Linked DNA regions of Lonchura striata. The protein of the gene in region 2 purifies or fractionates together with the protein of the main gene of each other region. This does not show direct contact. Links are inferred from orthologs where the notes say so. Each region holds a gene or a part of one and is shown on either strand. Other genes may lie near its edges.

What was found.
Region 1: the proteins of TRIM13 (region 2) and SQSTM1 purify together in Homo sapiens (affinity purification with western blotting; 3 studies listed by BioGRID). This does not show direct contact. The link is inferred for Lonchura striata from reciprocal best matches to the Homo sapiens genes TRIM13 and SQSTM1.

What each region holds. Positions count from the first base shown.
Region 1 is NC_134617.1:6,704,118-6,712,033, forward strand, and holds the start of SQSTM1 (sequestosome-1), read right to left. Parts: upstream 3,182-7,916; 5' UTR 3,121-3,181; coding exon 2,943-3,120; intron 2,830-2,942; coding exon 2,734-2,829; intron 1,944-2,733; coding exon 1,714-1,943; intron 1,606-1,713; coding exon 1,437-1,605; intron 995-1,436; coding exon 905-994; intron 739-904; exon of another isoform or gene 402-738; coding exon 157-401; exon of another isoform or gene 1-156. UniProt on the Homo sapiens protein: Molecular adapter required for selective macroautophagy (aggrephagy) by acting as a bridge between polyubiquitinated proteins and autophagosomes.
Region 2 is NC_134604.1:62,631,961-62,640,132, forward strand, and holds the start of TRIM13 (E3 ubiquitin-protein ligase TRIM13), read left to right. Parts: upstream 1-4,995; 5' UTR 4,996-5,058; coding exon 5,059-5,061; intron 5,062-8,172. UniProt on the Homo sapiens protein: Endoplasmic reticulum (ER) membrane anchored E3 ligase involved in the retrotranslocation and turnover of membrane and secretory proteins from the ER through a set of processes named ER-associated degradation (ERAD).

The DNA.
Region 1 (7,916 bases), on a different chromosome or scaffold from region 2:
GCCTTTAATATAAAGAATTACATCCACAAGAAGTCCCACCACCTTTGCTGTAAATCTGTAAAGGTGCTGTGTATCCCTTAATCTGCTCTCATCTTAATACTCATTCCTGCAGTACATTCCAAGTGATTGCATTCAATTACTGTTGTAGTTTTGTACCTGGGAATGGAAGCTGCCATCTTCCATTTGTGTGGGCACAGAATCTACCACCATGTCTTGCATCTGTTCTGCAATGACATTTACTTGTGTAGCAGACTCTGTGTTATTCCAGTCTGCTTTGGTCTGAACATTCTGGGTTGGAGCACTGCTGGTTGCCTCAGCACCGGTCTTCTCTTGGTTGGCAGAAGTGGGAGTCACTTTGCTTCTCTGTCCTCCGTGTTCCACATCGATATCAACTTCAATACCTAGAAAAGCATTTAAGGTAGACAAAGTGGTAAGAGGTTTTTTTTCCAAAACAGCCCTAAATGGATCGATCCTGCTCTACACTCTTAAGGTTTCTGTCATCCTACAATCTGCCATGTAACAGCAGGAATTAAAATGCAAAGCCTTCTTTACTAAAGAATAGCTAAGCACTGAACAGCCATCTTCCTCCACACAGACAAGCCAAATACTTAAAGGCAGGGCAGAAGTTACATCTATGTCCACATAAACCAGGCAAAATCTAGAGTCACCACTGACTTAAAGGGCTGACACATTATTGAAATTTTTCCTCATTTTTTTCAAATAAAAGGTACTGAGCAACTGTTCTAAGCCTAAGCATTATTAGTATCCAAGTATAAACTAAGCCTTTGAGGCTTAGGACAGGAGGTAATTTGAAGACCAGTCACAACAACTGACTGCTGCTCCTGTTAAACAGACCTGTAAGCCAGTCTCAGGGACTGGTAACAAACTGTACATTATCACTTACCCAGGGGACTCAGAAAAGCTGCAACACTCTCCCCAACATTCTTTAGGAAGGTGACATTGGGGTCCTGAGGCTGGCTGTTAGTAGAAGCTTCTAGAAAAACAATTTCTGTTAGCACACACAAGCTCTGAGGGAAAGGGCACCTGCAGAGGGTGTGTCCCCACAGGAGCTTAAAGCTCATTCCTGTCACTGACATACATTACAGAACAAAGCACTACAGAGAACAACTAACTGGGCTACCTCTGGAACAGAAAGCCAGTATTAGCATTATTATGGCTCATCAGCCATGCTGAAAGGCAGGTCTGGAGTACAATAGTGACATGCTTGACCTAACAGCTCAGCTTGGTTGGGTTCCAGATACTTTATCTGCATCCTCATTGACTGCACGGACCCAAGCACACCTTAAAGTAATAACACTTTGTGCTGAAAGGTGCCAATTCCTTTGTTCTCCCACCCAGATTCTACCCTATGCTGCAGAACCTCAGCTGGTCTGAGGCTCCACCACCACCCTGTCTACCAGGGCACCTCCTCTCACCTTCTGCAGCAGGTGCACTGGGGGCTGCAGTGGTGGCTTCAGCGGTGGCTTCAGCTTGCTCCGAGTTCTGGCAGGGAGCTGCAGGCCCAGGATACCCCCAGCAGTGCATCCATGGGAAAGGTGGAACACCATGGCGCATTTTACGGAGCCAGCGTCCTCGGGGAATCCACTGTAAAGGGTGACATTCGTGTGACAGCGAGTTCTGAGCAACTGAAACGCCTGACTTGAATTTGAGGAATCTCTCACTCATCAGTTGCCTTCCATAGATTTTGCTCACCTCAAACGGATTAAGCAGTGGGCTTTGGAACATCACCATGTTGTGCTCCTTGTGGATGCCCTTCCCCTCACAGGTGCTGCACAGGTCATAGTCTGGACAGACACTGCACTTGAACCTGGTCCCCACCACAGGTCCCTCACAGCCATCACAGATGACGTTGGGGTGCACCATGTTGCGGGGCGGCTCCTGGCTGCACTGCGAGCGGTGCTCCCGCTTGCACTCCTTCTTCTCTGTTAAGGAAGGGAAATTCCACATCAAGATCAGATTACTATCTACGGCCTTGAAGTCAGGCCGAGGAGGAAGCACAAACAGCCCGTCCGAGCAGTGTTGACTTACTAGGTCAGTTTATTTTTACACTGGCTGTCAAACCTAAGCCAGGCTCATGTAAGAGACCTTAAACCACGTGCAAAGAGGTTTTGCAAAGATACCTCCTCCTGAAACCAAGCCTACGTTATCCTAAATATCCCTTGGCACACTTTTTTTAGATTAGCACTGCACCACCTCATCTGGCTTCTCACCCTACCTTCCCAAGCACTGCAAGAACAAAATGTTTCTGGAGAAGGAGTTAGGAATGCAGATGCCATGAAGCATAACATGAGAATGGGGACAACAGGTGTGGCTCACTAGATGGACTGCAGATAAAGCTTTGAGGGCTTCTACATGAACAAGGGACTGGGAAGCAACTACGCACTGGGAAAGTGGAATTAAAGCTAACATGTTGTTTTGAATATTTAGGATACCACCACTGGTTTAGTGTATCCAGGGAACGAGAATGACAACAGAGCCTCACACTGGGCCAGCTGATAGGGCTAGGAGGAAACCTGTGGTTTGTTTATCCCACCTCAAATTCATGTTCCGTCACATTACACTGCCCTTTATTTAACCTCCCCCGCAGAGGCCGCAGCTTCCACTCGGCGCTCGAGGACACGGGAAGGGCCGGGGCTGGCTTCTCCCGCTTTGGGAGCGCTGCCAGGAGGCTCAGCCGAGACCCGCCGTGCCCTCCGGAGCTGCTACCCGTACCTTTGATATAAACACGGAACACGCCATCCCGCACGTAGGGCATCGCCAACTCCAGCTCCTCGTCGCTGGAAAAAGCGATCAGGTCCCCGTCCTCATCTGGAAAGGGCGAAGCGCAGGATGAGGCGCCCGGTGGGGTAACGGGGCAGCCAGAGCCCCGCGCCCCGCGATCTGCCACCCCGGGACCCGGCAGCTGCCCCAGCCCCGCTCACCCTTGTAGTGCATGCGGAAGGCGGGCGGCGGCCCGGCCCGCAGCAGCCCCTGGAAGAGCTCGGCGACACGGTCGTAGATGGCCCGGTAGCGAGCGGGCGGCGGCAGCGTGAAGCGGCGGATCTCGCGGGCCGCCTCCTCCTTGCCCAGCAGGTAGGCTTTCACCGTCAGCGCCGCCATGGCTGTGGCGCAGCAGGAATTGCGGCCGGGACCGAGACACGGAGCGGCGAGGGGCGGGGTGAGCGGCGACGGCGGCTCCGCCGGCCGCGCTTTTAAGCGCCGCGGCAGCGGCCCCGCCCCCGAGGCCACCCCCCTCTGCCCTGCCCCGGCCCGCCCCGCTCCCGTTCCTGCTCCGTCCCCATCCAGGGCCACGGAAAAGCGCCCACGGCGCGCGGGAAAACCTGTGGATACGTGCAAATGCCCATGTCTGCTCCCTGCCCTGCCCGGCCCCGGTTTGGGCCCCGGGGCAGCGCCAGGGGCGTGGGCGGCGCGGGGTTCTTGTGGTCCCCTGAGCACCAGCGGGGGCGGCGGGCAGTGAGCGCGACACGGGGACCCCTGGGTGACCTCCGAGACACACCGGGGGCAACACCACAGCACGGGCAGCGCCGGGCCGCCCCGGTCCCGTCACCGCTCCCGGCCGCCGGGAGCCGGCAGGCGCTTGGCATCCCGGCGCTGCCTCCCCTCCACGGCGGCAGCGCGGCCGGGAGCGGAGCGGGAGCCACGAGCCAGCCCCGCTCGTGCGGCACCCACCGGAGCGGCTGGCGTGCCGAGCGTGGCAGGAATAAATAACTGAACCCCTGTGTCAGGAGCGGGCACTAAAAATAAGGTCACTGGTGTAAACACAGCTGACATTAAGGAGGATGTGCTGTGGCCTTTGCAAGCTGGTTGGCAGCAGTATTTTTTTTGCGGATCACATACAGTTGACAGGCCTCTTAATCCGGCCGCAGGAGGGTTCAGCTGGCAGAACACACCGTCTGTGCTGTCCAAGCATAATTAAATAATGATGGATCAATGATTATTAGGTTCCTTGTTGGTGTTACTTTCCTCTCACCCAAGGGCCTGACCACTCTGACTCTTGGTGCTGTATTTCTTAATTTAAGATATTAAGAACTTAGGAGGAACTGTGTCACGATTTATCATCTTCTGTAATCAAGAGAAGCATAAATTTTAATTTCCACAATGGGAAGGTAGTTTATTTCTTGACCTAAAGTATATATGTTAAAACACTTGGCCTTTTATGTAGAGACATTTTTGGTATATGTGGCACAATGTTGACATTGCAACCCTTTCCTGGAAAATAGTATTTACAGTGGAAAAGTTTGCCCCATTTAAGTTAAAATGCTTTCTAGAAAATTCAGTTTCTATGTATGACATGGCTAATGTTTGCACTGTAAAGCAGTGGATTAAAGTTTAAATACCAGCAAATTCAGCAGGAAACATGGATGATGCTGTGTAGGAAATTATTCAGCGGCTTTTACAGCAGCCAATATTGAAAACTTTGGGCAGGCAGCAAAGCCATATGGTGTTTCACCTTCCCTTTTGCCTGTTTGCTGTGTGTATCCTTATATCTGAAAATGTCAATGAAAGCTGATACCTTGACATTGTTGGATTATGCTTTTTCTCCATAAAATCTGATTTTATGGTGCCAGGAGAAGCAGGACATGCAGTACAGGGCACTCTACCAGTGTTGGATGTGCCTCACCAAGCAGCACCTCCAACATGCCCATCTCATGTTGTTTCTGAAGACCTCGAGGGCCACTTTCATCTCATCTATTAGGCCAGAACTGTATTTTGAGACCCAGCACATCCATTCCTTAGGTTCCAAGCTGCTGCTGTTCCAGACAGCTCCAGTTCCTATTCCCTTCTCCATCCCTGCCTGTGTTTGAGGGGTGTTTGAAGTGCAGGGTAGGGGGTGTCCTCAAGTTGCTGTGTCTTTTCATGTCAGTTCTGTCTCCAGGCTAATTGATTGTTGCATTTGCAATTATCAAGCAATGTGCTAAAGTAAAATCAGAAATTTGAGTTTTCCCGTGTCCACTTCAATCCAGTTCTCCTGGTGGGACATGCTGAGTCACGCACAGCTCTTGCTGTGACATCATGCACTTTTACAAAACACAAGGCAAACAAGCTTTCACTGGTCTCACGGCTTACCTCACCGATCACGGGACGGGAGTGACTCAGTGAGTCTCCTCCTCCTCCTCCTCCTCCTCCTCGAGGTCGGGGATTTCCTCCGGGCAGCCCTCCTGCAGCTCAGACCTCGCTCTCCCCCGTTTCCTCCAGCCTGGGCTCTGCCTCTGCCCGGTTCCTCAGCCCCATGTGAGGAGCTGTGCTCTATTCCCAGATCCACTAGAGCAGTTTCTCCTTCTGTTTGTGAGTGGATCTGGATTTTGGCATTCTCAGCATGGAGCAGTGGTTGTGTGGATACTTTCTTAGGAATCCCATGGCAGCACAGCAACTCCTGCCCAAAAAAGTGGCTCGTTGGCCCCAGGTGCTGAGCAGCCAGCTTCACACATGGATATAGCAAAGGAACAGTAAAGAGAACAGTGAAAAATGCTGTTGGAGTTTAAAAATTCAAGTTAGAGAGGAAAGGCTTAAAAAGGAGCAATTAGCATCCCTTCAGTGATCTGCTTTCTCTCTACACCCACTTCTGCTGGGAAATGTTTGACAATATTTGGTGAGGTTTTTGTTCTGAGGGCACAATCACCAGAAATACTTCTGTCCAAACTTCTTATGTTTGCAATAAAGCCCTGGGGGGAAGAAGGTGGGATGGAGGAGGTGAAATGTCCAATCTTTTCCTTGCTTGCAAACCACAGCAGAGTCTGATGAGGAAATTTTCCAGAGGAAGTTTTGCCCCAGCTCATTGCTCCAGCCTGAGGCTGCCGTCACTGCCCCAGCACTCCTGGTGAGGAGGGGAGGGTTGGCAGGACAGTGTGTGGTGATGGAGGGACCACGCACAGCTCTGGGCTGCACCGAGTGCCCATCCACACCCAGCAATCCCACGTGTCCTTCCAGAGGCTTCTGGAGAGGTGCAGGATCCTCCAGGCACATCGGGACAGACACTGGTGACTCAGCCTGGTCCCATGACCTCTTCTTTCCTCCTCTAGCCCAGTGAAAACCCGGTTCGTGCCTCGGAAGCAGAACCCTCCTTCCTCATTGGCACAGGCAGAGCACAAAGCCGAGCTGGGAGTTTTTTGCTGTCTCATTTTTGAGGCTTTCCTGAAGTTCAGCTGTGCCACGTCAGGTGTTTACACAGGCTCAGCAGCTGTGGTGAAACTGTTAAAGGCAGAAAACTCTGGCAGTTTTTTCACTGAGACACAGGAGCAGATAGGAAGAATGGGTGGACAGCAGGTACAAGGTAGAAGCACACCAGGAGTGTTATGCAGTTCCATAAGGATTGTTCCTGGAGATGAGAAAGAGTTTTTTGCAACCTATGTGAATTTCTTGGGCCTAGTGTTGCTTTGAAAATCTGACTTGTAGCTTTTGCCCTGATTTAAAGCATCAACATGTCAACACTTTGAACATAAAGCACCCTGTTGTCATTTTCCTCTCTCATGGCTAAAGAGATTTGAAAACATTTATACTGCTGTGAAACAAGCCATGGTGATGTTTGAACACAGCAGCCTATAAAACATAGAAAATGAAATTATTTTGTTTCTTGCATAAAGCAGCCTGGGAAGGATCAAGCCTAAAGATGGGCCAAACTCCAGAGCTAAGCTCTTTCAAGCACTAGATAAAATCAGCTATAAATCTGGATTACATTTTATACCTAGACCTAATAAATGTTTTCTCTTTCTAATTTTTGTAATGGCCTCAGGACCTGTGGATTGCTATGGGAGTGTTTCCCATGAAGGCCCCTCATTTCTGCAGCACACTCAGCATTGCCAGCATCAACTGTTCAAAGATCATGAGATCACCATTTAAAAAAAAAAAAAAAAAAAAAAAACACACAAAAAAAAAAACCACCTTTTCTCTGCATTTGCTATTTGCTGGGGTTTTGGGTCTCTGCAATTCACATTTTAATTTTTGCTCTGCAAAATACGAAAGCTCAAAACTTGCTCAAAATTTGCTCAAAACTTTAAAAACAGAATAAAAGACAAAACTGGGAAAAGAGGGATAGATTTAAAGAATAAAAAAGACTTTGCAGGTCTAAGAGAAAAATGGCAGGTGCTGCAATTTGGCTTAATCCCTCATTTTTTCCAAGAGAACCCAAGGTTTTTTATCATGAGAGGGTGGTATAAAGCTCATTAATTTCTTCAGACTTTTATGAAGACAAAGTATAACAGAAGAAATTAGATTAAACTTTATCCTTGGGAAAGAGTCTAATTAATTGTCTTGGAGAAATTATTAATGTTCCTCTCTTCTCTCCCGCTGCAGACACACCCGATATCCTGAGTGGTGGGAGCATTTTGCACCTCTGAAAATAAACAGCCAACATTTAATAGAGCACAGCACTTCCCCACCAGCTCTTACTTGTCTGCCACCTTTGTGGAGGGCTACCATTAATTCCTGCGGATCTGCTGCTGCCTTATGTTGTGATGGGGGTTGTTCGTGCTTTGTAAAATCCAGGTCAGGATGCACCGGTCCAAGCCCCGCCCGCGGGGTTTTTTCGTTTTTTCGGCGTTCCTGGGAGTTCTGCCAGGGGATTTCCCCGCTCAGGGCGTTTCCCTGCCCAGGGATGAGGTCTGTGCTCGGCCCCGCAACTCCCACCTGGCTCCTGGCAGAGGAGGGAGGCAGAAACTCCTGATGCCATCCAAAGGGCTCCCTCTGCCGATTTCCTTCCCGGATTCTCTAACACCGGCAGAGGCCATTTCAAGATTTGAAAAATGGGCTTTATTTAACGAACTGAAGAATGTTCTAAGGATGCAGTTAGGCAAGACCTGTGCTTTTCCTCATATACGAGGCACCCAGAGCACCTCGAGGCAGCCCCTGCACCTTCCCGAGTGCTGGGCTCCCTTCACTGTCACCTCTCCAGGAGGAAA
Region 2 (8,172 bases):
CTGCATGCTTCGTGGAGGCATTTACACCTGTGAAAACCAATGTAAAAAAGTATTTATTATGTATGTTGGAATGGGTTTTGTAATGTCTCCATGCAACTTGCACAGAAGTAAATGATGGTGCAGAACTGGAAAATCAAGGTTTGTTTATTGAAAGCAGGTCTTCCACTCCCAGGGTCAGGCCTGTGGTTTGGAAGATGATAGAGACAAGGTCTCAGATGAAAAACAGGTTGTGCTTGTACTTTTGAAATCTTCACCATAATGTAGTTCTTGTGAAGATTAACATTATGTAGGAAGTCCTCTGTTTTACACAGTTAATCTGACACTTGCCAAATCATAGAAGAAATTACATATGGAAATTAATTTTCTTCCTTGTTGTTCTCTTTGCTTTGGAGGTCACTTCTCCTTTCCTCATTGTGCAATACAAACAAAACCCACTGTAGCAAAGCTTTGATCTATAGGCAATCCCAAACCTCATTAAAACTGACAGGGATGCTGTCCGTGCTTTGTTCAGGAAGGAGCAATTAAGTTCTTTTATGGCATAAGATAGCTAAAAATGAGAAACTGCTGCCCATGCAGGCAGGGGTGAAGGCACAGGGGTGCATGGCCAAATGCTGAGTTAATTTGTATGAGCAAGCACTAATTTGGGGAAAGTCAGGGACACTTTTCTAGGGACTGCTTGTGAGTGCAGCAGCAAGAGCACAGATTGGTTGCAGCTGTGTTTGCCTGTGTGCATGTCCGGGACCGGAAACACCACACAAGAGCCAGCAGACAGTGGGAGAAGCAGTGGTGTATGGCCCTGAGAAAAAGCCAAGGGACAGCTTCTTCTGGGCAAGCATCCTGGCTGGAGCAGCAAACTTGGACTGCTGCACAGTTCTCCCTCCCATTTGCTTCCTCTGCGTGCAAGGAAAGGGGACGTGGCTGTACATTCTTTGTAAATAAATAGGATTTCGCTAAGGAGCTGACTGAATTCATCATCGATTCCCCCCCCACGTCCCTCTGCAGAAAAAATCTGGCAAAGTGCTGAATATTAGTTAACCCTGTCGGTCATAGTTCTGTATGCAAAACTACAGAACTTTTCAGTACTGCTAAAATAGCCACCAGAGACCCTGCAGATATCAAGGCAGTCTCTGAAATTCAGACCTCAAAACAGCAGTTGATCATTTCAGTTGCTGATGATCCTTCATGGATTTTTAATGCCTGGTATTTCTACAATCCATATTAAAAGTTGCTTTTATGGAAGAATAACAAGAAACTGCTTTCTCTGATCCCTTGTTTGGAATGTTTAATATAGTCCAGATGTATCTGTTGAAAAGAAATGTAGTCAGATACAATATAGTTGTGAAACATTCATACATCAGTAAGGTGTTTGATACATGGAGCTGTTTTGAATAATTTGCTTGTGTTATCTTACGGTATCTTTTTATCAAGCTGCTCTAAGCTCTTGCAGATTTATGTCCATATTTAGGTCCCCATAGCAACTACATTATCCACCTCAGATTGAGAGTATGCTCACCCCAGCACAGCTGAATAAAGCAGAGTCCTTCAAGCTGGAGTCCTGAAGCTGGAGTATATTCTGTGTGTGCTCTGACACCTCTCTAACGGGATGTGAAGCCTTAGCCTTAGTGGGAAGGCAGGTTTGCAGCCAAGGATAAGACTGTAAAATGCCCTCAACTCACCTCTTTTCCCTGGAGCTTCACTCCAGGAGACAATTACAATCCAACAGGTCTTTGGTTCAAAGGTGCTTTACTGATGTGGAATACAAATTTGGGAGGAAAAAAAAATGCTGCTTTTAACTCCAACTATATTTATCAATCAGTTCTTCTCCAGCAAAGCACAGCGGGTGCCTGGAGCCTGGAATGAGCAGCTGGTGTGGCCGAGGGCAAGGCTGTGTTACTTTTGGCAGCAGTGCTGGCAATAGCTGGCTGGAAGCATTTGTGAAATTATGGCTTGTGGGGGCACTTCTGGTTTATGCTGACGTGTGTGCAGGCTGCCACTGAAACAGGCCCTCTCACTGGCTTATCCTGGCACTGGTGTTTGTTCGGCTGTAGGATCGGCTGGCTGCCAAAATTGATCCTGCTGGAAACTTTTTTTCTTTTTTTTGTAAACTGGATTAGCTTTCAGCTCTGTTGGCAAGTCGATCTGGCTTAACATATGGCTGCATCAGTGTTGTAGCCAGCAGAGAGCAGGCATCAGGAAGGCATGACTAAGGAAAGGGGAAAGGATGGAATGATGACTTTTGCCAGTAGTACACTCTTGTCTTGGCTTAACCCCCCGAGAATCTGCCTGTCAGGGTAGAGTTACCTGTTATAATTTGAGTCACATTAATGGCTTGCTTCAAGTGTATGAGAAAAATCTTGTTCCTTTTTTCCTCGCTCTTCTGACATTAGACCTGGTGATTGTCTAATCTTGCATTGGACTGATTTAACTTATTGAATCAGCACAAAACTCACCTCAACAAAGAAAAGGGAATAGCATTCTGCTTACTGAGTGGGTGGAATCAGCTCAGCAGAGCATCTGCAGACGCTGGCAGAGCTGGGACAGGCAAGGGGAATAGTAGCTGTCAGCTCTGAGGTCGCTGACTGAACCACAACTCAGAGCTTCAGTCTCAGAAATCTCCTTGCACAGTGCTTATTAGAAGAGCCATGATCTGGGTTCTCTCTGTAGTTTGAAGATGACAGTAAATGAATACCCTTTGTCTTACAAAAAATAAGAATTGAAAATCTGGAAATTACCACAATCATATAATTCCTTCCAAATTTCTACCCCTGTATTTTCAACTTTTCAACTCTCCCATAACTAAGTGGCATTTATTCTAACACCTCCTTTCAAGCTGGGCCTCTCCTTTGAGCCTAGATTTCCCTTGGCTTTGTTTATCTCCACAGATCTACAAATGTTCTTTTCCATCAGCCAGAGAGAGCTTTTCTCTGAAGCTTCCACAACTGGCTTTTGTTGCTGCCTTGGGAAGACACTGTGCTCTTCGATGCAAGAATGCAAGCTCATAAACAAACTGCTACTGAAAGTGCTGCTATTGAAGCAGAGTTAAAAAGTATAGAAAGATGGACTTGAATGTGTGCAAAATGGTTGTGTGCGACTCAGGTAAGAAGTAGAAGAGTGCCCAAATTCTATTTGATTATGCTCAGGACAGCTGTGGAACACTTAAGTAGGGTGCTGGCTAGGCAGTGTTTCTGTGCACCAATCACAGAAATCCTGCTGCGTGTTTGCCTAGAAGTTAAGCTTTCCTCTTTGATAGAAGAAATCAAAGGCAAGGAGGGACAAGAACATTTTCAGGTGGACCTAATGAAGAGCCATTGTTCTGGGTGGGCAGGGAACCACTCTTCCACCCATTCAGCTCCTTCTTCATTTATAAGGAGACAGAGTTGGACCAGCCCAAAGAATTAACAGAGAATAAAACATACTCTAAAAATATATTAAAATTTTATATGAGAAATAGATGGAAATAACAAGTGAGAAATCTAAAATGCCATGTTGTTGTTAATCTCTAACCATAAAATTACAGAGAAGATTAATAGGACCCAGAAATTCTTGATATAAAAGTGGCTGTTGGGAAAGTGTAGACAAGGAGTACTCAGCAAATGTAACTGCACAAGCATTGGGACATAATTTGAAAGTAGTTTAGGTGACTGAGGGAAACTACCTGGAATTACTTGTTTTTAATAAGCAGGAATCAAGATGCTCGACAATCAAGAAGAAACAAGCAGGATGTTGAAATACATCTGAAGGTCTTGATTGCTTTTGTGCAGCAACTCTGCCTGCTGGGGCTGTTCTCCAGTGGACAGTGGAAGAAATGCCTCAGTGTGTAGGCACTTGGAAAGGAATTTTCAAAAATGCTTGTCCTTGATCAAATTGGTTCCCATTGAGTTCAGCTGAGCAGGCAGGCTAGCTTGGGTGGGGCAGCAAGGAGAGAAGGTGAGGAGTAACTGCAGTGAATTGGGGAAGCATAACCTTGGCATGTTATTGAATGGCTTTTAAGATCCAGGTTCCTAAATAATAAGAAGAAATAAGTCAGATGTTCGAGGGAGCTTCATTTGATAGAAATACGGTCTGATTTGTGATGTTCCTTGTGTGGGTAGTCCTGGAGGTGAAGAGTCTCCCCTGTGCTGATGAGTGACAGGACTGCAGTGACTGCGCAGTAGGGGAGGGGAGGGATGCAGGAGGCAGAGTATGTACATTTGGGAACAGCTTTTCATGTAGTATTTCACAAAGTCTAACTTGAAAATAAGTTCAGTTTGACTTTGATGTGAAACCTGTTCTGTTGACTGAGAACTAACAGAACTGCAAAAGAGATATGGAACACAAAGGTCCTCTGACATCTCAGCACTTCCAGACTCAGTTTCATAATCCTATAACCAGAATGTTCTTTTAAATGGATATGGAATCTCTTCTGCTGCATTTCCCAGGGACTAGTCAGTGTTTTGTGGAAGACCTGCACTGGTTTTATGGGCACGTTAACTCTCCAAGAGATTCACCAGCTGGAAACGGCATAACCAGTGTGCTCAAGCAAATGAGTCGTTATCCTTTCATGAAGCACATAAGGCTGGCTGTCTCAAATTATGTTCTTTTTTAATAAGTGCTTTCGGAAGGCGACAGATCCCCACAGGATTGTCACCCAGCAGCGCCCCTCCCTAGGCTGTGCAACGTGCGCCTGTGAGCTGCAGGCTCAAGTGTAATTTAACAGAGTTAACAAACAACAGAAACCCGTATATATCTCGGCCGCCGCCTTAGGCGAGCAGCCTCCACCGCCGGCCCTCTTTCCCGGCAGCTCCGGAGGCTTCCCGGCCGCTCACAGGGCAGCGGAGGAACGGACGAGCCGCAGCAGCTCCGGCCCTGGGGCTGGATCGGCGGCCGCGGGCCAAGGTGGGTGGGACGGCGGGGCAGCGGCGGCCGGCCGATCGTCCCGGCGGGCCCGGCCGATCGTTCCGGCGGGCCCGGCCGATCGTCCCGGCGGGCCCGGAAGGCGGGCGGCGGGCGGGCGGGAGCGTGGCGAGCGTGCGGGTGACCGAGGCGGCCGCTCCGCAGCCCGCCGGGCCCCGGCCTGCCATGGTGAGTAGCGGGGCCCGGGGGCGGCAGGACGGGCGGGCGCGGCCGGGCGAGCGCAGGCCGCGGCTTTGTGAGAGGCGGCGGCAGCGCCCGGGCCGGGGACGCCGCTGCGGCGCCTACCGCCGGCTCCGCGGCAGCCGCCGTCCCCGAGCCCCGCGGCGCCTCGCGGACCTGCCCGGCCTCCCTGCCCCGGGCCGCGGCGCCGGGCGGAGCGCTGGCACCCCGCGGAGGCCAGGGCCGGCGGCTGGCTGCAGCGTCGTTTAGGGGCGATTCCCTGCAGGAACTGCAGACGGGGGGTGCAACCAGGAGCAGCCGGGGAACCTCTGCCAGGTCAAGGGACAGTGGGGGCGAGCGCAGGGACCAGCGCTGGGGCAGCCCGTGCGCTCGGCAGACCGCCCAGCCCTGGGGGTGAAACGGTGTTCATGGGGCTGTGTGTGCACTGAGCACAGACCGCTTATTTCTCCAGGCCTTCCTGCCTTTCGAGAGTCTGGACGTGTTGGATCTGCCTGGTGCTCCTGGAAAAACTTTTGGCCGTGAAATACCAGGTTTAAAGCATGGGCAATTTACCCATGTCTTTTTGGCCGTCTGGTTAGCAACCTTCCAGTAGCTGGAAGGGGTCTACAGGGAAGCCAGAGAGGGGCACTTCATCAGGAACTATAGGGACAGAACAAAGAGTGATGTGTACAAACTGAGAGAAAATTTTATTTAGATATTGGGAAGAAATTTTTTACTGTGGGAGCAGTGACACTGGAACAGGGATATTTTGGATGCCCCAGTCCTGGCAGTGTTCAAGGCCGGGTTAGATAAGGCTTTGGGCAACCTGGTCTAGTGGTTGGTGTCCCTGGCCATGGCAGGGGCGGTTGGGACTAGATAATCTTCAAAGTCCTTCTCAACTCCTTAATATTCTATGATCCTATGTTACCTACTGCTCATAGAGGTCAGTTGTTCCACAATAAAATGTATATAGTGACCCTCTTAGATTGTGGTTTCTCTCAGTGAACAGGGTTCAGATCATAGCTGCTGGAACGAGGATCTTCCATCTCTCTTCTCCTCTGTGTAGGACTCTTTTTAGGGCTGATTCAACACACAAGTCTGGACAAGGCTGGTGAAATTGCTTATAGGGGGTCCTGACACAGACTAGGGTTCCTGCCAAGGAAGGGAGATGTGACCTCTCCAGACTAGCTCAACTGCTTGTAGAAATGTAGCTTGACTTGGTCACGTCTCATTTAGAACAGTTAAATGCCGTTGCAGGAAACTTGTAATTCAGAGGTTATCTTTTTGGTTTTTTTGAAGCCTGGTGAAATTCTGGTTTTGCTTTCAGCATGCTGCTGGCTGATAAACCCAACTTCTGTGCTGAGAAGCATGCTAAATGAATTTTTGTCTGGAGTGTGGGAAAAAGCTACTGTGGTTGTTTTTGCTTTTATGGTTTGATGTTGTTTGTCATTCTTCTTCCTAATGATAAAACTGTGCAAGTTGCTATTTCTGATGGGTGACATCTGTTGGGTTTGTACCCAGAGATGCTTTTGGTCCATGTGCTACAAGTGGGGAATTCCAGGGCCACCCAATCCTGGGTCAGAGGTTACACAGAGAAATTCCCAGTGAAAAAGTTGAACTGTAGATGTGGTTCATCACACAAATACCAGGTTGCTAAGGGATGTTTCAATCTACAGACAATTTACTATCTGAAATTAAAGAAGACAGAAGTTAATCTGTCCAACTAATCGTACAGGTCCTTCAGTATTTTTGGTTTAGCGTTTTCTGGTGTTGTAAGAGGGGGAAGAGGGGGGACTTTGTAGACCTGCCCATTTATTTTTTTTAAATGCAGTGTTTTTAATGATGTTGTATAAAGGTTTTGAAATTCAGTTATATTTATAAAGCATAATTATGTAATTTGGTAAGTAGGGTTCAAATGTAACAGGACAATATTAGTTGGATCATGAAGCCTTTTTGTGTATGTTTTTTGTATTTTTAGGAGTGTGAAAATCTTTGGTGTTTGTCCTGCAATTTTGATGGAAAATGTTATAGTGAGCATTTTCTGCATTGCTTTGCAGTTCGTGCTGTTAGGAATGCAAAGCTGCTTTTCCAGCTCCCCAACTGGGAAATAAAATTTTCCCTGGTAAATGAGATGGACCAGAGCAAATATTTTCTGCCCGGTGCATTTCCATTTACTAAGAGATGGAAAACCATAATTTTAGTTTTGTAGTTATTATCCTCTTTACACATGAGCAGAACTGATCTTTGTGCTGCTACTGTGGCTAAAAGGTATGAGTACAAGTTGGAAAGAGAGAGCTGCTCACAAAAAGGAAGACTCAAGAGTGGAGGGATGAAATTATCATCTTCCTGTCATCCCATTATTTTTACCACTAGGAAAAAGATGGAAGAGAAATGTTGATTTGAGAGCATGCGAGGTGCTTCAAAACTACATTCTCCTCACAGAAAATGGAGTTTGTGAATGGGATCTGTGGGCTTACAGGAAACCCATTAGTTAGAGTTATTAGACCTTTTCTCTGGGACTTTTCCCCCAGTTGTAGTGGTGGCTTCTTCTGTCTCCTGACTTTAGTTCTGAGTAAAAAAGCTGGCAACTTTTCCAAAGTCTCTTTTTTCCAGCAAGCACAGAAAATATGTGGAGGGGCATAAGCACATAAGCATGGTTGTCTCAAGCATTTTGACTGTCATGCAGGAAAGTTGGGATTGGGAGGGAGGGTCCCGCTGAGACAGGGAAGCGCTGTTGTGAGCCAGCTTCCCTTTCTTTGCTGGGCTTGTTAATCAGCCTGGAGGATCACATTTAGTGTGCCTGCAGCAAGAGAAGGGTCATGTCCTGGGCACCTCACTGAAGGAGGCACCCGGACCACTGCAGGCCCTCAGCCCCCCCCCACTCATTTCCTGAAGGGCTCTAAGGGTTCACTGTGCATGTGCCAGCAGCAGCAAATGGCGCAAAAAATGAGGGGATGTGCCCTAGGGAAGCTGTAAAAGGGAGAGGATTGGTCTCAGGCTTTTGTTGATACCAGATCTGTACTGTGCAGAGTGGCAGGACCAGTGCGGGATCTGAGGGCTGGTGGTCTTTTTCCTTCACTTTCTCTATTTTCTGTCTTTACTCTCTCCTCTTGGTTTATC